2 linked regions of the Drosophila melanogaster genome follow. The protein of the gene in region 1 interacts with the protein of each later gene in a pairwise test. Each region holds a gene or a part of one and is shown in the gene's direction. Other genes may lie near its edges.

Region 1 (10,400 bases):
TGTCTGTATGTCTATTCTACGTGACACCAGGCGAGCGAATTTCCAACTCCTCCCGCCTCCCGACTTGCGAGCTTGCTGGATGCCAGCTTGGTTTCTTGCTTTCCTGCTTGCTTTCTTGCTTTCCTGCTTACTTGCTTGCTATCCTGGCAGGACGAGGGCAGGGGAGCGAGGAGCCTCGGTGAAGGATGTTCTGCAAGCGATGGATGGATTTTTGGATTCGGAACTTGCACTTGGATTACAAGTCTGATTTTGATGCGTGCATGTTTGTCCCGTTTTCAGTGCAACGTGGAAGGGTGAGGGAAGGAGGGACTGCACTCGCAAGCGCACTGCTAAAAATTAATTAAGCATTAATAAATTAAAAAAAAAATACTATCCAACTAAGTAACTAACTAAATTAGACTTAAGAACACAAAGACTTATTGTTGCTTAATTACAACAAATTAAATAATAAATGAAAATTTGCTTAATTAACTAACTTAATTAGAATTAAAAGCGAAAAAAGTAATATTATATAAGATTGATCCTTCTAAATAAAATAAAATTACAATAAAAATTATAATAAATAAATTCTATATTAATACTGACTCAAAGAATGAGTCGCTATGCAACGGATATCTAATAGCCCAGGTAGTCTTAATTTAACTAAATACTTCACTATAGCCTTTTTAACACACAAATAGATGGAAATACTAGGGTTTTATAATGTATTTTAGATATTTTCTATATTTCGCTACTAAAATCTCAGACTTACACATACATTTGCATGTGTATGTATAGATGAGCATATTAAAAAGAAACTAGACTTCAGGGCTCATATATTTTCTTCCGTGTAGTGGCCCCAAAACCCTTCTCTATTATGGGTCAACCTCACACAAACACGAGAGGCTGGAACGGTATGGGAACATTCAAGTTTTCTTATGCTTTGTCTTCGTGTTCTTTTATTATTTTATTCTCTGGCCTTGTTTTAATTCACAGCGTCTGCTGCCGCGTCATCCTTCTGACTCGACTTTGTCTTCGTGGCAGTATCCTTCTCCGTCTCCGGCAACATTGTCTCAGTCCGCATCCTTGGCAAGGATGCTCACTCACAGACACATGTGCCTGAGAAAAGAGGGAGCTGTAAGTGCAAGGCAGTGGCTCTTGTTGTTGGGTTGTAAGTGACATTCGCAATTTTCAAAACTATTGAATGAGTGACAAGTTCTGCAGACACGATTGAAACTGACAGTTAACTCGAGACTCGGAAGGCAGTGACTTGCATTGAATATGGGTGTACTAGATGGGTCTTCAAATGTCTTAATGGGAAGCTCCAACGATCACTGAATATGGATCAAAGCTTGGGCTTTAATAAAGGCAACATATGCATTTCACCTACCAGCTACATTTTTCTTTGTATAAGTCTCAAACTTGATTTGTTGCCCCTTTAGGCTATTAAATATGTATATGTTAAATATGTTGATGTTAAATTTGTCACCTGATGCTCTGGGAATATTAGGGTATGTTAGATTCGCTGAATTGTATGGCGACAATCGACCATTTCGGGTTTTCACTGGATGGATTCACCAATAAAATGTCTATTTTAAAAGACTTTATTGGCCGTCGGACAGGTCCTGATGCAGCTGACAATAATGACGCTACCAACTCGATAAACTCGGTGACTCACTGGCCATTAACAATTTCATTTATTTTGTCACATCGGGCGAGTGAGTTGGGCTTGGTCTGTCGGGGACATTCGACCCAGTCTGTCTGTCAATGTCAACATCAATGTCACTGCGTCCTGGACCAGACATTTTGACAAATAATTCAAACCGCATTTTATAATGAATTTCCCAACGCCCTGGGAAGGATGAGCTGCCCAGAGGAGGGTGTGACTGCACCTGATAAGCCTTTCCCCCTTATTGGGCCAGATACATGCGGGAGATTTATGGGGAATAAATTCCAAGGCAGAAAAACACACAAAACTGATAATTACACTGACGAGCGGGCTTTATTTTTGGATTCAGACCTTAAGTGCCCAAAAGCGACGACTTGGCGTCACTCATACGCTCATCATACTCCCATAAAGAAAATGATTTTATGGGGCAGATGCTTGTGGTGACTCCGGAATGCTGTGCGATCGTAAATTTATTCGGTCATGCCCAGTATCAGATTGCCAAGTTGAATATAAGTATCGGCTGCAGAGCTAGAAAACATTCTTACAGTGTTCGGCACGAATAAACAAAACAATATTTAAGCGAAAAGATAACAGACCAACATTTTACCATTTCTCAATGTCCCAATAAAATTTAAAAAAATCGAATACACAGTTAGTCACGCTGTGTCGAATTAATTCGCAACCTATATACAAAAAACCTGCGTTCATTAAGACGCCCAAAAAGTCAATATCCGGAAGAAAAGAAATATTGTTATTACCGCTGACAGCTGCACTTACATTGTATATTGGCACGCATCATGAACGTTAATAACCATAAAAACACCCAAAATAACTTTAAATTTTGAATCTGCCAAGCACTTTTGCGAAATCGGATGAAAGGGGAAGTCGTGGAAGTCATTCCAATACTAAGCTTCCAAAAAGAAGATAGCTGCGTGCTCCTCCTTGTGATCCTCGATGTCTGGCAATATTTGTCCGCCAATGGGAAATACAATGGCTTTGAAATTGTCATAGATACGTAGGGTTTCGAAGTGAAAGCCGTTTTCAACTACCACGTAATTTTTCTGGGCCTTGTGTGGCTTTAAAATTGGCGACAAGTCAACGTTGGCGCAGTTTAGAAAAAAATAGGACGAGCTGAGGGCCGCCACGAGATCGTAGCATCCAGTTAGCGTTTCGTTCCAAATGGAGACGGATGCGAAGGCCAACGATTCGCACTGACTTATGGCAATGGCCTCCTGGTTATTGCGGAATGTGTGAAATGTTACTACTCCAGTTGGGTAACTTCCCAGCTTATCGTGCGTACAGTCACACACAAAAATGGGTGAAGCCATTGGTGGGGCAACCTCCGAAATGCAGGCCCTTATTATGTTAAAGTTGGAGGTGTGGCATTTCTCCAGTGCTGCCAGATAGCTAGGATGTTCGGCCACAAACTTACTAAGAGGATGTAGCTTAGACAGGATTCGCTCGACGATCTCCCCGCGAATTTTCTCTTCAACCAGAACCATGGCCACCGCATTCGAGGCAAAGGGATTATGAACCGACTCAATAATAAAGTGCAGTGCACTGTTGATGTCGCCTTCTTCAAATATAATCATCAATTGGGGAGATGAAGTGACATCGTGTCCTATATGCCGGTCAGCTTCCGATGTCATTTCGATGACACTGTGATCAGGTGATCTTCCCTCCGGGTTATGGACCATATCGTAGGTGACGACATGATCCAGTGACAAGGACTCATTGTGCTCCGACTGGGACGGATGCTCGGAATCAACTGAACGCGGAAAGTATTTAGTTGTATCGAACATGGCTTATCAAAAACTTCACTGTAATGTAAAAAATTTGTTTTTATATATTTTGAGATTTATTTGAATGGCAAACGCGATTGGATATGATTAAATGAAACATTTCTGACACATTTTCATATTTCAATTATTTTGTTATTTTTTTTAATCTACCAGGAATTCTAATATCACTTGAGTACTAAGTACTAAACCGCTCAATGCGGCGCACTCTGAGTCCTAACCATCGGCATTTATCAAAAGCAATATAGTTTTACTGGCCCCTTCCATCCATTGCCACATCGAGGGAATTCAAAAGAGCACCCATAACCCACGGTGCCCCTTATTTGTTAATCGCTTAATTTATGATCAAATGCGACAGTAAAATTAAAATATCACAAACAGATACAAAACACCAAAGTATTTAGCCATCGTCCAAATAGAATGCCAGAAATGCATTGGATTTGTTGAAATTAGCATTAATAATTATAAATATTTTGCCAAAATATTACAATTTTTATTGTGCATTTCGAACTACACCCTTTTTGACTTACAACAAAGAGCATACGATTATGAAATAACAGAACAGAGCCAACAGCGACAATTAAAATATTTAAAGCCACAGAAATATTTTTTCGCATGGCCCATTGGCGAACTGAAAACCCACAACAAAAAGTGCGTAGTAAATTTCCTAACGAGTTGAGGGACATCCATGTGGACATCAAGTGCAGCAACAATACAGCCATATACGGAATGATAATTTTGCTAACGATGACCATTTACATATATCAAGAGTAATTATAATAAAATGCCGAAAATAAAATTAAAATTAATATAGAAAGCCGATTATAAAATCATGTTTATACCTACAAACAGTTATCGCACACACTCTCATTCGTTGTAGCAAAAACAACTGTCAAAAATAGCAAATCCCATAAATCAACAATGAAATTTTGCCAGAAAAAAGGAATTGAAACACAAATAGAAAAACCTGCGTGATTTCGTATACATACATAATTGGGAAAACAAAAATTTGAATTTATGTGGTAGGCCATTATTTCCAGCTTCGAATATTTTGTCAATTTGCGTAGAATAAAATTGAGCTACGTATATTAAAATAATTCTCAAAATGGTAGAGGGCATGATAAAAAAGCTAACTGCTATTTTATTTGGGGTAAGTATTTAATCAGCAGCCCGTCTTCAAGTTTTTACTGACAACTTTTCTACACTTAGCTTGTATTGGCTGTGTTATTTCGAGTAATTATACCCTTTACTCTGCGACTTAAAAGCGCTGAAATAACCATTAATGTGCTTAACTGTTTTAATTTTCTAACAAGTACCGTTTCCATTACCATTTGCCTGAATTTGGTCAGCCTATACTTAGCCAATTTGCGTGATGATTGGCTTGTTCTCGGGGTAAGGACTTTACCAAAAAAAAAACGTGAGGTTGATAATTGTAAATTAGCTTATACCGCTGCAGATACTCGTCCTTCATTGGACTTACTTCACAATTTCAAAACAACTAGAAGCCATGAACAGGAGCTATAGTACATTCATGGATAGCTTAAACCTTAAATGGCTGGCATACTCCAATTTTAACGAGACAGATTGGCCTTCGATTGAAAATGCGGTATGTGTTATGCCTTTGCTCATTTGCCCTTTCAAGGGTTTTGCTTTTCACAGGTTTTATGCTGTGGACTGGAGGGTCCCCGTTCTTATATGGATTATCTACAAGGGGTTCCAACCCACTGCTACCATCCCGACCTTATCACCCAAGGTTGCAGTGACTTTGTTAAAAACATTTTTATGCCGATACAACATATAAGTCATTTGCAGCTCAGATTGGCTATTTTTGTGGAACTGGTAATTTTACTTATTCTTGCTGCAACGCTTTTGAAGAAATGTATTTCTTTGATCGGCGAAAGGAAACATAAAAGAGTTATTACACACGGGCTTGCGGTACTAATAGATTTAGTTAAAAACACATTTTGAAACATTAGCCTTATTAACCCTAACCAAATACTACTACTCTATACACTACCATGTAACCATTCTTGAGTACTAAATGCAGTTTCTTGTAATGTTTGTATTGTTTTAATCTATGCCACTGTATTGCATACAATATGTAGATGACAAATCGAAATGGAACAAAGAAATAAATTGAAATAAGCTGTCTTTTATTGCCGATGACAATTTGAATAAAATTAATATACAGTTTATCCTATTTTTAATTAATAAATGTCAAACATTTTGCGAGTATTGAGTATGAGTATTTAATTGTCTGATTTGTAATTTGGTTTTTTCCTGTTGTCTTTTTGTCATGGAAAATTGGTTTTGTTATAATTCGTTCGATGAGTACGAAAAAAGTTTCAAATGGCGAATGGAGTGGTAATAGGGTAGCGGAAACACACTTTGGTCTTGTGCAGCGGAAACGGAAGTGAGTATTAGAAGGCAAAATAAACTTTCGGAATGGAAAAACAATTCACATTAAGCAAAACGTACACATTTTTGACAATTCCATACCGTTATTATTGGTCTGAAAATGTACCGGTTTGCTTTTCCAAATTATAATTTATTGTCTTTTTTGGTTTAAAAATGTATATAGATAATATCAGGAAATCAATTGTGGAAAATGCATGAACGAAGGCGTGACCTAAGGTAGATGTATGAACAGTGCTTTCTATTAATTTAAAACAAATTGAATTTTCTTTATTATTTAATACCCCGCTAAAGAGATATTTTAAAAACAAGAGATAATGCTCGGATATACCGAGTTCCCCGACTGTGAGATACTAGTTACTCAGCTAGTGTGTATACGAACGCGAAAGTGCATCATTTTTCTGGGATATCGATAGATATTGGGAAATAAAATGACCGATTCGGAAATCGAAATATTGTTCAATATTAATAAGTGACTAATAAAAACGTGAAAAAATATAAACACATTTTTCAAAAGTTTGGGCGTGGCATTTTTATGCCGTTTCTGGGCGCTAGAGTGGGCGTGGCAACATGGGTCAACGATCTTGCGCTGCGTCTTTGTTTCTACAATCTTTATGCTGAATCTCGAACTTCTCGTTTTAATAGTTCCTGAGATCTCGACATTTATACGGACTGACGGACATGGCCAAATCGACTCGGCTATTGATCTTGATTAAAAATATATGTAGCTGTGTTCAGAAAAATAGCAGTGCGAAGGAAACTGAGTAATACAAAGGTATTCTTCCAAGTCCCTTTTCGGACTCGACTCTTTTTTACACGTACACTTATTACGCACTACACGGCTAGTTTTTCATGTTATCCTTTTTTTATTTACATTTTACATTACATTGAGCAAAATCACAAGTTTTAGACTGTTCATAAGAATAGCAGTGTCTGGTTTTGACCAACGTAAAGTCCCGAAATTATAAATATTTTCTAAAAAAAAGTGAGTTTGGTTAAGTTAATTCGCGTATTTAAAGGGGCAATAATTTAAAAAAAATTATTTTAGTGGGTAGAGGACAGCACTGCTCCCAGGAGAAAATAATGTTAATTTTTAAGCTAAGAAAGGAAGGAAAAACATACAAGGACATTCAAAAAACCCCTGAATATTCTGCCAAAATGGTATCCAATGCCATTAAATATGAATGGAAGCCGAAAACCGTGGTACCAAAGTCTATCCTTTTGCATCCCCTAGGGAGATAAAGTCTGAGCTGAGTGACGTTACTATTCGGTGATAACTACCTAATCGAAATTTAATTGCGAGTAGTCCCAGAAAGGTTCCCGTACTTAGCCCAAGGCATATTAAGGCAATGTGAAACTTCGCTAAAACCTACCTAAACTGGCCAGTCTCCAAATGGTGTAATATCCTTTAGACTGATAGGTCAATAATAGTGATATTTGGTGGAACTGGTTCACTACAGTATATCTGACGACCTCCAAACACCGAGTACCACCCAAAACACCCAGTGAAGAGTTTCAATCACGGTGAACCTAAAATCCTGGTATGGGCTTGTTTTTTTTACAATGGTATGAGTCCATAACATATGATTTATGGTATTACAGACCAAAACGCAGATGTAAATATACTTATTGATGTCTTACTGTCATATTCTGAATATAATATGCCCTTAAAATGGACATTCCAACAGGATAATGATCCGAAACGCAGAAGCAAATCGGTTAAGAATAGGTTCACCCAAAATAGAATAGATGCAATGCCGTGGGCAGCACAATCTTCCGATTTAAGCCCTATTGAAAATCTGTGGGGGGACATTAAACAATGCCGCGTGGGTGTAAGGCTGTGCTGGCTAACAAAGGCTATCCAACCAAGTATTAGGCCCTAATTAACGTATTCAAAAGGAAAACTATGTTAGTTCTAGGTCAATTTGAATTTTGTTACGGTTTTTTCATAGCACTGCTATTTCATTGAACACCAGAATTTCTGCCTTTTATGTTGCTTTAATCTATATTATCGAAACTATTGAACAAATAAAAGTGAAACATTTGTTGAATTGTTTGAAATGAAATACCTAAAGATATTATAAAAAAAAAAATTTCCCATTAAAACTGTAATTCATAAGAATTTTTTATCTTAAACTCTCAGGTCCAAAGCACTGATACTTTTATTAACACAGCTGTATATACTTTACATAGTCGTAAACGCTTCCTTCTGCCCATTACATACTTACATAATGGGTATAAAAACAAGTGCTGAAAAATTGGGGATAGAAAATGTACATATATTGGCTTCAGCAAGAGAATGACCCAAAGCACACTGCATTGAATCGAGAACGATGGCTGCTGTATAAATTTAAAAATCCTGAGTCCTGATCTCAATCATATCAAGCATTTGTGAGATCTTCTTGAAAGAAAAATTTAAAAACACACTTTAACTTAAAGAAAGCGGAATGATGTCATTTTGGAGGTTTGGAGTATAATAAGTGCGGAGGATACATAAGAAAGTTTTTATTCTATTTATATTCTATACCCAAAGTATTTTTTAAAAACAGTCTATTTATTTGTTGAAAAATCTGAAAGACGATTTAATTAACGAAGACATTAAATTAAAGTTAAGTTACGAAATGGGTTAAAAACCAGTTGTGATTAAAGTTTACATTTAATTATTTTTGGGATGTACGCAGAATTATGCGATCGATCGTATGTAATCTATAGGGTATGAATAGCTTCCCTCATTCCATGACATAGTTTTCTTGAAATCTTTCTCGAAATCGGTATGAATAGTTAAGATTGAATAGCTGCAATTTAATTTAATGCAAACTGTACTAGTTCATGGTTTCCAAATAAGAGAAACCAGCACGGAATTCCTAAACCAAAACCTTTTCAGACCCTTGGCCCCGTAAGGCATCACTTGCTACTCTTAGTATCGGGCTTATAGATTTTTTGCCAGAGTGAATCGTTAAGCCCGTAAATGATTCAGAATACCACAAATGATTGCGAGTGTTGGGGTGGTGGCTATAAAATCACATTGATTGATTGCAGTTCCCGATTTGACGACGAAAGGAGGACCACACGCTTGTGAACTCTGTCAGTGCTAAATTTAAAAATATACACATCGTGTGCGATAATATGAAGCCCCGGTCATAAATACAGGCACCCACGAAAGAACTCAAGTGGCTCGTACGAAATTCCGGGCTGTGCGGATGAGTGCTCGCAAATATTTTGTGGCTGGCAAGTGTCAAACACTGGCCATCGCAGACAGGCAGCCATCAGAGTGAGACTTATCATTTGCTCATAAAAATGTCAAAACTATCAAGCTGACATTGACTGATGACGTCGACTCGGGAGGGAGGAATGACATTCCATTGGGTTCCATTTCATAGCCGAGATGCCAATGTTAAATGCTTCGCCTCCTCCAATTGTCGCATATCCAGCTCCGACCACTCCTGCTATCCCGGCCATCCTTCAACACGCATCCTTGCATTGACTGATTTCATTTCATCCTTTCCCGTCGCTGTATTTTTTACTCGGTGCCACTGCATTCACCCATCCGTCTATCAGTCAATCGAGTGACTCAGAGGTGCTCTGGAGACATCAGCATAACCATTACCGTCTCCTCCGTTTGGCATGATTCATGACTTCGATTGATTTTTGATTGACAATATCGCAAGCATTTAAAGTGTCTGTTTCCGCTTTCCGTGTTTTATGAATATTTTTCTCCACTCTGCTTGCAAGTGGCTTGACTTTTGGACCGCAGGGCTTAGGTGGAGTGATTTTAAAAATCATTTGTCCTTTGACAGAAGAGCAATTGATTGACATTGTCGGTTATGAATTCATCACTTTTCCAGAATGAGTTGTCAAGACATATATGCGTTGAGGTGTTTCAGTGGAGTACTTGGGGCATGTGCTTATTGCAGATAAACTCGCAGGAAATATCCAATCAATTTGTACCTATGTACAGACATATGTACGTCTGTATGCTTAGCGTATAATCGCCCTGATTTCGTAATGCCTTCACAAAGAAATATAGTTCGTTTAAATTTATAACCTTTAATATGTGTCATCCCCTGCTAGGTATCGATTGCAATCCCTATTATGAGCACCTACTCTTCGGGCATGGACGCACACATTAATTAGCGATAAGATCACCTTCAGTTCTATGGATGTGAAAATATCAATTTCATTTTGACATTGATGGAATTAATTTATGAGCCGTGCCTTTTTGAACGTCCACACCTCACCAGTTTATTTATGACCGTTACCAATTCGAACCAAATCAGAGCGATTTGAGTGATTACCTGCTAGACCAATTTGAGATTTATGCTCCGAAACGGACTAAGTGTTGTCGTGCCAGATAGAAATCTATTCGATACGGAGTGCGGTGTTTAGAACTATCAAGACCACTGGTGTTTTAAAAACAAATATTTTTTTCGATTTCGTCTGTCGATGTAAATTGTAATTCTAATCTCACTCGATTTGCACATTCATGACCAAAATATTCTTTTCACAGAATAGTATTATTTTATTCGGTCATCCACGGG
Region 2 (10,822 bases), on another chromosome or scaffold:
TTACTTAGGACCTAGTTACTCCTCATTTTTTTTTTTTTTTGGATGTTGTGTAGAACCGTCGTGAACCACCGCATGAAAGAAAACCACCAAAATGAAAACTAACTAATATATATATGTACAATCCCACAGACTATTTACCTATAGAACAGAATCCAATGCAATTAGAAAGTGGAAATCCTCAGGTGCTTTTCGAACTAGCTCGTTTTTCCATTTACCAGTTACCATTTAACCCTGATTGATTCAATCAACCAGCGCAATCAAAATTGAAAAGAATTGACAAATATACCATGGTACCTAAAAACAAAAATCAAGCAAAAAAAACCAAGCAACATTAAAACATTAGTGAAAACTAACTAAACAATGAAAATGAAATCTAGGCTAAGAGCAAAACGATTTATCGCCAAACCAGCAATAAAACGATGTGGAAATTCAACTATTTTTGAACTGGGCTGGCTGCTTGCCCAGCCCAGCAGGTCAGCCAGCCTTTAGTTCGAGTAGACCAGGCCCGAAATCCAATAACCCCAATTAATAATAATAATACTACTACATACATGACGAACAACTTGAGAATTTGATGATTTCTTCAATTTTATTTCGGCTTTTGTGTGTGTGTGGCATGTAACGTAGTGCAATTCGATGAAATCGAATATTTGGAAAAACTGTCTCGTTTAAAAATCATCTGAAAGTATTCATTCATATTTTGCAAACAGTACTTGTTCCTTCTTTTTTTTAGTGCACATATAATTGGTTTTTTAAATTTGCTAATATTGCACAATTTGTTTTATTTTCTTCTCTATAAAATTATAGGAAAAATGTAATTAATTTAGGTTTATATTTACAAAAGATTTGGGTATTATTTTTGCACCCTTGATTAAAAATGGAAATATGAATTGAAGAGATCGCCGCACTCTCAAGTCGTTGAAGTTTTCTTTTATATAAGTCTCGATGTTGTTGTTTCTCATAGAGTGTACACATAAACATAGGATATATGTCCTCGTCATAAATATATTTAGAATGTACATAACAAAATACTCGAATATTTAATTTACTCTCTGTGTTCCTCTATTCGAACCGGAAACGAGTTTGCGTCTTCTTAGCACTCCAGGAAAATGAAGGAAAATGCCCCAATTTTCAATATGAAATGGGTGGAGAATTAAAGAGACCCGTAACTAAAAATTTCCCTTTCCTCTAATTTGACCTGAGCAAAATGTCGCTGGACGACGAAGGAAAAATACAAAAGATGTGTGTAAAACAAAACTAGAGAATTTTTTTATTATTAAACATAGTCAAGGATAATCAACACGAGATGATGGAGAATTTGGATGATGATGGCAAAAATGATGATGAGAATGCAAGGATGTAAAAGATATATTTATAGAAATGAGCTATATGTATACATAATGACAGATTGATTATATGATTATATAGTAACTTATTGTCACAACGCAAGAGCAATCAATGTTTAACTTTATTAAATGTTACAAAGAGTTTTAAATATTAAATATACTTAATGAAATATATACAGATATACCTATATATTGCAGATTATATTCTATACATATAATTTGTAGGTGAAGCTGAGATGAAAATGAATAAAAAATACTAGTCGTACTCGTAGTTCGCCATTATGTTTGCCAAAAATCGGAGATAAATGTAAGAAAAGTTGTGTCAGCCATTGCAGAAATTCGAGGGAAATTATTGTATTTAGCAAAAGGTTTTCCAGAATCTCATAAAACTCCATTTGTAAATCTATTGTACCCGCCAAATAAATAATCGTGAACCACAATCCTTATATTCAAAATAAGCAAACCACAAAAGAAGAAATTTTGGAAAGGCACGGTTTGAAAAAAAAAACCGGGCTGGCACTCTTTCTAATTTTTTTTTTGTTAGCATTTATTTCAAAATCGTTATTTCTTGTGTCTTAGCAATAATAATATAATTAAAATGTGTGTGTCGCTCTGTAACTGTCTCTATTGTGTTTGAGATTACTCGTATCTTATAATGAATATTATTACTAAACTAAAGCAAAAGTAACAAAAAAAAAGAAAAGAAAAGTAAGAAAGCAAAAACGCAGGAGACGCGGAATGGAATCCACAACAGAAATTAAAATTACTAATTAAAACGATTACTTACAGTAGACTTAAGAATACAATGATTAAATAAAGAAAACGATTTCCTTACATTAACATTGGTGTAACATTTTTCGGAAAAGCTCTTTTGGCTTAACAGAAGTTGTTGAAGGAAATAGAAAAGCTTTTAACGGTCACTTTCCCAAGTCACAGTAACACTGCTTTCTGCAAAAGCTTAAAGCTTAAAAGTGTTAGCTTTTTGAAGCTGTTAAAAGTCGATATTATAGGTTTATTTTGGCTTAAACCAATAAACCAGAGTGAAATGCTGGCTAAAAGCTGTGGTCGTTTAAGCTTTATTTTTAAACGGATTTCCGTTTTTTTTGCTAAGCAAAGGTTATTTTTCCCCTGGGTTACGTGGAAAATAGCTTGTTGAAAAAATATAACATCAGTTAACCAACTTGTGTCGTGTTAACGTGTCAAACTTTTCCAATTACTCACATGCACTTGGGCTCACCCAAATAATTTACCTTATATCATATCCGTTGCATCCAGTTACATATCCGGAACAATAGTTAAACCAATTTCGAGATTAACAACACGATTAGTACGTATAGTTAATATCTACGTGGTTTCTGATTATTCAATAAATAACTTAGGAAATGTTATGGTTGGTGGGGAATTTCTTGAAATAAAAACTTTATTATTTTTGATATAATATTTAAACATATTTTGATGTATTGGCTTAAGTTAATAAGTTCGCATATAATTTGTGTAAGCCAGTCATTTATTTGAATTGCGATCAAGTGTGCAACCTTGGCGCACTGCCCCCCACTCGAGAACATGCTCTACGGCTGTTTAAACTTTGGAGATGGTTAATAAATTTATTTTGTTTATTTTCGGCCGGGTCACGCTTTCCCCAAATGACCCTCGTCATAAAACGCGCGAGAATCTCTGGGTAAATATAAATATAAGAATTGCACGCTTTGGTTTTTGTGCATGAAAAGTTTACTTCGCATTTCGGTTTCGGCCAATTGTTTTTCTTGGCCCTATCACCTTTCACTGCGAAATATGTCTAAACGAGAATGTTTTGTGAATCCATTAAGACGCAATAGAGAATTTTCCTATAGCTCGTAGAGCGTTCGGTGATGTCTCCGCAGCACTGGATTGGAAATGTATATATCTTTCTACTTGGCCACCTGATAGGCGAAACAGCTTTTCCCCTTCGAAAATCTCAAATTGTTCAATTCCGCTTCCAAGAATGCGGAACGGCCAGCAGGCGGTCAGGCAAAAGTTTTTAGGAGCCGAAACAGCTGTTCATTTGGCTGGTGACTGACTTGCTCTGCAATTAAAGCGATTTTTTTCGCGGAAGAAGGCCCTATTCGAATAGTTTGGATACACTCGAATTCTTGGGAGTAAATATTGAAGAACTTCTTCAAAATTCTCCTGCTCAGTTCTAAAACCAAAACAATGGGATTTACTTAGGTTCCGTTTCATATGTGTGTGAGTGTAAGCTTGTACTTGAGAACAAGTGCGTTTATTTTTAGCCGAGTATTGAATTAATTTTCGTACGGACTTGTAAAGGAGCTTACATTATTTTCGTAGAGCAACCTGGCAACCTGTTGAAGGGGCTTGCAACTCGAACCGCGTTCGCTGCCAGCATCGAGCACGTTGCACGTGGCAAGCAGCAATTGTGTGTTTACTCAATATTCTCGGCGTGCCGCAGATTGTGCCTTCCAGAAAGCAAAATAAACAAATAAAAGTTCCATGAAAAGGTATCATTTGTCAAGCGACAGCCGACAAATGAATACACATATGCATGTATGTATGTATGTATGTATGTCCTATGTACCCAACGACTTAGCGGCTTAAGTAGCTGCTCTAAATAATAAATTCAATTGTAATCAGAATCGTTTATGTAAATATTCAAATCGTCAATTTACCCGGACAGAGAGTGAGATAGAGAGAGTGTAAGAGTGTGACGTGGGGGGGGGGGGGGGTGGAATTGTCCTCCAATAATCCGCGAGGCAAGCAAAAGTCTGGGAGGGGGGGGGGTGGCAGGTGTAGATAAGCACCCCATTAAGACAACAATAAGCTCAACAAGTTGTTCTGGAAAACTGTCAATTAGAACCACCAACACGCACTGTGGCAGCAACAATTGTTCGAATGAAAACACAACATGCTGCATGTTGCACGCTCGAACATAGCCTTGCCATGGAATCGATGTTGCATCAGAGGTGTAGATGGGGGCTATTAGGAATTGCAGCGTAACTAAATAGTATTAGAACTTAAACGCAGAGCAGAGAACAAAGAAATGTGCACTCCGAAGCTGCGGAGTTCTCAAATAAAATGAAGCTAGCATTTTAGTAGAACTATTACTTGCTATTAAGTATGTACAATAATCTCAATAATAAGAACTAAATAATAATAATGAATTGGTTTGATGATGAAGCAAGCTCCTTGGGCAGTCATGAGCATACCAATGCAATTCTTTCGCTCTCGAAAGCGGCGCCTCTGTTTGAAGTCGCACTGCCTGTGAGTAGCGGCTGCAACGCAACATGTTCGATGGTTCGATGGTTCGAAGGTTCGATGCCTTCGGTTTTGGTTGGGCGGCGAGTGGGCTGCGCTAGCATCCGCTGGTCAGTCGCTCGCGGAGCGTCGTCGTGAACGGTCAGCCAGCGCGGCTAATAAGTAACCAACTGTAGTGACAGTGCGATAGTGACTCTGATCCGAACCCGAATCCCAGGCCCACAACAGATACGTCCAGCGTGTGGGCAGCCAGAACAGAGTGACAAGAATATCGGAGCCGACAACAACAGTAAACTGAAAGATAGAAAGAAAGAAAGAAAGGCCAACCTGCCGATTAAATTCCAATTGAGTGTTACGAGTTTTTTTTTCGAGTGAGTGCGGCGGTAAATATTTCGATCTTCTTCCCTTTTTTTTTTTTTTGCTGTGCCACCAACAGAAACCGAAAAATGCAAAAATTAAAAACCAATCAGTGAAAATCGCCAAAATTGCCAAAATATCAAATAGAAAAATATGGAAAATAGTTGAATCGAAGAAACGCAGACCGCAAAAATTTATAGAAAGAAAACAAACACACAACACACACACAAAGAAAAAACAAAAGGGGCAGACAGAAAGAAAGCGCTTTTATTATTTTATTTAACGATTTTTCTTCTTGCAATTTTTATTTTGCACACTTTGTTGTTGGGTCAGTCAGTTGGCGGCTTTCGCCACTTTACGAGCAACTTCCTTTTTTGGCCGGAGAAAAACCAGTCTGGCCAAGAGACCAAAAGACCCCTGGCCAAAAGACGTCGGTCGGTGGGCACCAAACACTGCGAATGTAAACAAAACAGCAGCAAACCGTATTTGTTTATGACTCGGCTTGGCCAGGATAAAGCCCAGAGACTTTGAGACCAACTAAATCCCACACCCCCAACCGCCAATCCCGCCCTCACCAAAAATATGATTTGCTAGCATTTCCCCCCATTCCCCGGCCGAGATTCTCAAGTGCGAGAGTTGCAAAAAAAAATGTGGTCCCCCCTCCCCCCTTTTATTGCCGCACCGCGTTGAAACGACACCCGGTGAAAGTTTCCCAGTCGCAACTTAGAACTCTCTTCATTTTCGGGTTTCTTTATTTTTTGCTTGATAAATGAGTCGCTGGCATAGCCCCCGGGGCGGTAAATCATCTCTGCTTGTGGCACTGACAATTTCACAAATTTATATATTTGCCACAACAACCGACCGAAACACTCACAGTCGAAAGTTTTCCACTTCGAGTGCAAATTTGACTGGCTTGGAAAAGTCCAGGCGAGCAAATTGGCCAGAGGTGTTGCCAACGAAAAAAAAAAAAAAAAATGAATTGGTAACGAAAACAATTGACGAAATCGGAAGTGACAGCATGATAGTTCAAGTTCAAACACGCATAATAACTTCATTGAAAACTGTAAACTTGAGAGTAAACAATAGTTTTCAAAGATTTCACGAAGTGTCTTCAGTTCAGCATATTAAATATACCCAAATACGGTTTCAAATTGACATAGATTAGTAATTTAACATAGGAACAGTTAAAAAAGTTAACCAGCTGGTGTGATAATATCTATGAAATTGTTGGTTTCTGGAACTTGAGAGATTCGCAAGTTCTAGCAAGCAGCGGTTGTTAATGCATATGAATACGAGACATCGAGCAATTTCGAAGATATTCCACGCCAGTTATCGCCCCCCCCGCCAGTAACTGGAGGCCAGCTCTAGCTCCCATTTTTAACTGGTTACCCCGCTCGAGAATTCACCATGTCGGCTCTCGGTTTTTTCCTTCGCTTTTCGCTTACTCCACACAACACAAATCGAATTGAATGGCAATCTGGAATATGCCAGGCAGATCCAATTGCATGCCACATATGCAGATGTAATGGGAGAGTTGGCCCACTCGCCACCCCCTTGTAAGCCCCCATCGAAACACCAACACACCCCCCCCCCCCCGGCCGCTTACAAAAATTAAGCCCCCTTAGCCGCCCCGCCAACTGTACCGCTGATCTGCTTGCCTCATTGCCGGTTAGAAAGCCAATGGAACGAGTTTCGTTGAGTGTGCAACTAATTTTCTAAATTGTTGTCGCTGCTGATCGTTGAGCGTGGCAAAAAAAAAGTAAATAAATAAAAAATACACACATTATTTATATGGCCAACGTCGCACAAAGAAATTATCTGTCACCAACATTGGTCATCAATTTTGATGGGTTTTCGGCGTCTAGAATAAGCCCTTTTATCACTGACGTTTTAATCAGATCTCTTCTTCAGAAGTATACAAAATCACGGTATGATCTTGCTTGAAGATGATTTCATTTTGCTAAAACGTGTTTTAATTCACTTTTAAATCATGAATCATAAATATAGGTATTTATGTGACTATTTTATATAGGGTAATACGATAATACAGAATCGTATATACGTACGTACTTTTGTAAAATAAAAAAAATTTAAAAACGGAATAATAAAATGTATATTTATGGAAATTTTTGAACGATGGCATATTTAAATAGATAAATAATTATGAGAGTGTGGGTGATAAGGCAAAGATTTTAGATTCAAAACCATCCATTCATCATTGCGAAGATCGAACTGTCATTTTTGCGATTGATTGATTGAATTTTAATAAAAGTCTTTGAAGTCGGACTTATTTATTATTTTTTTTTTTTATTGGGTTTTTCTTCTCTTGCGAGTGCGTCGTCATCATTTAATGGTGAAGATAGAAGAAGAATTATCCGAGCCCATAGAAGGCGAAGAAGAGGAAGAAGACAGGGCTAAAGAGACAGAGCGAGAAAGAGAGTAGGAGAAAGGGAGAGAGGGATAGAGAAATGTTAATGGATTAGGAAGCGAGCTCAAAAGGCAGCGTAGAAGAAGAATCGAATCTCGGCTACTTGCGACATTAGCCCTCTCCCTCCCACTCCCGCCCGATGAAGGCGGGCGCGAAAGAGAGGGGACGAGAGGGAGAGCGAGAGCGGAATTGAATGGCCAAAGGAAAGGTGAAAAGAGGCAACTTGGCTTAGACGATGATGATGACTGTTTCTTCTGTTTGTGTACGTATGTGTGTGTGTGTGTGCGGACAAACAGGTATCACGCACACACCTACAGACACACTCACACCTGTGCGGAATAACTAAGCAGCGACCCGATTTTCAACAGAGAGCCAGTGAGAGAGATAAGAAGAGAAGAAACAGAGCCAAGAATCCGATCCATGCCATGCGCCTAAAACTATTACAAATCTATAACAAATCTACCACGAATCTACAAACCACAAGAGATCTTTTCACAGATCAATTTTATTGGGATTATTCAAAAATTTCCAGTTTCTGTAGTGGGGTGATTAAAGGAACCTGCATATATGTTAAATGTTTCAAGTCATTTCATTTCATTTTTATTTTAATATTTTAAATCACATTTCTTGTGACACGTGTTACTTCAAAGATTATCCATCAATGTAATTTGTTGATAACTTATCTTTTACATTAGACAATAAAATAAATTGCGTTCCATTTAACAATCAAACGATTTGGTAGTAAAAAGGTATGAAACTCCAACGATATTATGACTACGTTTTCGTTTTGAATAGATAAAAGTGCTTCTGTTAGCTTTCTGATTCTTCTAATTAGTTATTTCAATTCCGATTGATGGAGTTATATTCTTAGGCTCTGCCTTGCATACATAGTATATCTCTAAGCTACATATATATATATAGGCCGAAAACCAATATGCAAAAACCAGAAACAAGTAGTCTTCATATGTAAAACTCTGTTCTCATTAAGTTCTGGACAGGTCATAATGATGTTTCGCCCCGTGTCGTTCCATCGTTCGCTCTGTCTCTTGTGTACTTGGATAAAATAAGATTTTTTTTGTGATTTTGCCGGTTGCCACACCTGAAATTCAGCTCTCTCTCCCTCTCTCTCTCTCTCTCGCTTGCGCCAACGCAGCAGCAGCAAGAACAAGAACGACCAAAACGAAAGACTTAAACGACATACGTGTCTCGCGCTGACGTCGCCGCTCTCTCTCTCGCTCTTTCTCTCATCCTCTCTCGCTCTCTGATTGCTGTGTTTTTTTTTTCAGTTGGTTTCCAAAGGCGCGCCGTCGCAGTTCGAAAACCGCGGCTCTCGCCAGCAAAATAAAAAAAAAAACAACAGCAATTTAATTTAAATAATTACAAAAGAGTCTATTTAAGAAAAAACCTTCTCGAAGAAAGGCAAGAAGAAAAATGGCGCGCGTTCAACAAAGAGAAAATTAGAAACGAAAACGATTTTTTTTTCAAGTGCTGACAAAGTTTGTGTTTTGTTTTCTTTATTTTTTTTGTTTTTGTGTTTGCCCTTTTGCCTGTTTCGTTTTCGGTGTTTCTGTTTTGGTTCTGTTTTTTTTCCATATTTTCTCTATTTTACCTGTTGCATTGGCCTGCCACCAACAACAACAAGAAGAAAGCAACAACAAAAGGATATATTAAGAAAATTTGTAAAGAAAAGTGCCAGCACAAGGATTTTTGCTCTCTCTCTCGCACGATGCTGCTCTCTCGCTCACGCTCGTTCTCTCGCTCTCTGTCTGGATTACGCTCTTCTTTTTGCCAGTGACAGGTAAGCAAAAACAATAACAACCAGAAAATCAGAAAAAAGAAAAACAATTTTCTTGTAATTTTAATTGGAAAACGTGTTACGTTGCACACACAAAAATGTGGAAAACCACCGAAGAAAATCGTTTGAAATTTTTTTTTTTAGACAAACGAAGACATGTGAACCAGAAAAAGAAGAAGCTGTCTCTTGCCGGTCGAGCGGTAAATTAAGTTGTCCCAATCCCCCACACACGACCGCCCCTCCCCCCCATCCAATAGCACTAACTGGCACTCTCTGGTACTTTCTGTACCATCTGTAACTCGGGCTCGGAACGTATTCAATTAGCCAGTTTTGGTATGCAGCATTCTTTTGAGCTACCGAATATATAAGCACTGTGCTTTTTAAGAAAAACTCTTTTTATAGCCAGCCAACTCGAATTTTCCACATGCAACTGGTCAAGGCGAAATATTAATGAGTACAGAATACTAATCAGTAAATATTTTTTCACACCAATACAAGATTTTAGTAACAGCTGTCGAATGATTTCCAGTAGCCATTTATAATGGGTAGATTTTAAAGCTGTTGGTTATGCGTATCCTTTAAATCCTTTAGAAATCCTTTAACATCTTTTAAAGGTATCCTCAAGTCGCTTCTTAAAGGCTCTTTTTAACTTGTGGTTGTCTTTATGCTTAGTTTTGTGCTTCCCGTAACTTTAGTGGGATTCCCCTTACGCTCATCAACTAGCTTGTTGTTAGAATGCGTTTTCTGCGCTTTCCACTTTGGCCCCACCCCCCTTCCGGGTTTTCCGACCCTTTGACGCCGCCAGGAACTAACTGATTTTCCCCCTTTCGTTCTGTATCATTGCCTTTGCTTGTTTCGCCGTCCCTTTCCGATGGCAATGCATTTAGAACCAGATCTTATAGCATTTTTTAGTGGGGGAGCCAGCATCTTGCTGTCCTCCTTTGATATCTTCCCTCTCGTTCGCACTGTGCGTATGTGTGTGTGTGTGTGAAATGTTTTTGTTGTTTGTTGCCGCTGATTAAATTGTTTGAGAACTTTCGTTTATAATTTGATGTACCATCCACCGCCCCACCCGCTTGAAAAGTCGCCACCCACACGTCGACTTTCGCCCGGAAAATTTCACCCACCACCCACCGCCCGCCGTATTTAGTTTCATTTCTGTGTGCAATTAGGCAGCATTTATCTCGTTTAAATTTGCGGCAGTTTACGAAGCTCAGCGGGTCCCGCTTATCACAAAAACCCAAACAAAGCACAAAAGATACGTCGACGGGGTACACAAAGCAAAAAGTAGGTTCGTTCTTGGATTGAAATGCATATTAAATATACAAGCCTAAAATTAGAACACTCTGGAAATAATAGTTTAATCATATAGTTGATATTTTGTTAGCTGTGTGAAAGAAACAATTCTTTACAACAATGGGAATCACAAAGGTACCAAATGTAAGGCTCGACAATATTTTCTCAGTGCACAGAGGCTGGAGACTGATGAATGCCTGGCTAAATTTAACTTAGAACTTTTCGGAGTCTCTGGAAAATTCAGATCTGAAGAGGAGATGTGTGCGAGGTGGAAGAGATTAAGAAAGATGAAGGAGAAACGAACGACTTTTTAACAAGGGACGTGGCCATAATATTCAACGAGCAAACTTT

Evidence for each region. The genes of interacting proteins can lie anywhere in the genome.
Region 2: the proteins of CG31600 (region 1) and mgl interact in a two-hybrid assay, tested with the Drosophila melanogaster proteins (one large-scale study listed by BioGRID).

Annotation. Positions count from the first base shown.
Region 1 is NT_033779.5:21,909,455-21,919,854, reverse strand, and holds CG31600 (uncharacterized protein), read left to right. Parts: upstream 1-4,496; 5' UTR 4,497-4,552; coding exon 4,553-4,597; intron 4,598-4,656; coding exon 4,657-4,839; intron 4,840-4,888; coding exon 4,889-5,053; intron 5,054-5,106; coding exon 5,107-5,415; 3' UTR 5,416-5,586; downstream 5,587-10,400. Other genes in the region: CG11634 (uncharacterized protein), read right to left, coding at 2,554-3,450.
Region 2 is NC_004354.4:9,494,030-9,504,851, reverse strand, and holds the start of mgl (megalin), read left to right. Parts: upstream 1-4,722; 5' UTR 4,723-4,978; intron 4,979-8,662; exon of another isoform or gene 8,663-8,876; intron 8,877-8,952; exon of another isoform or gene 8,953-9,178; intron 9,179-10,822.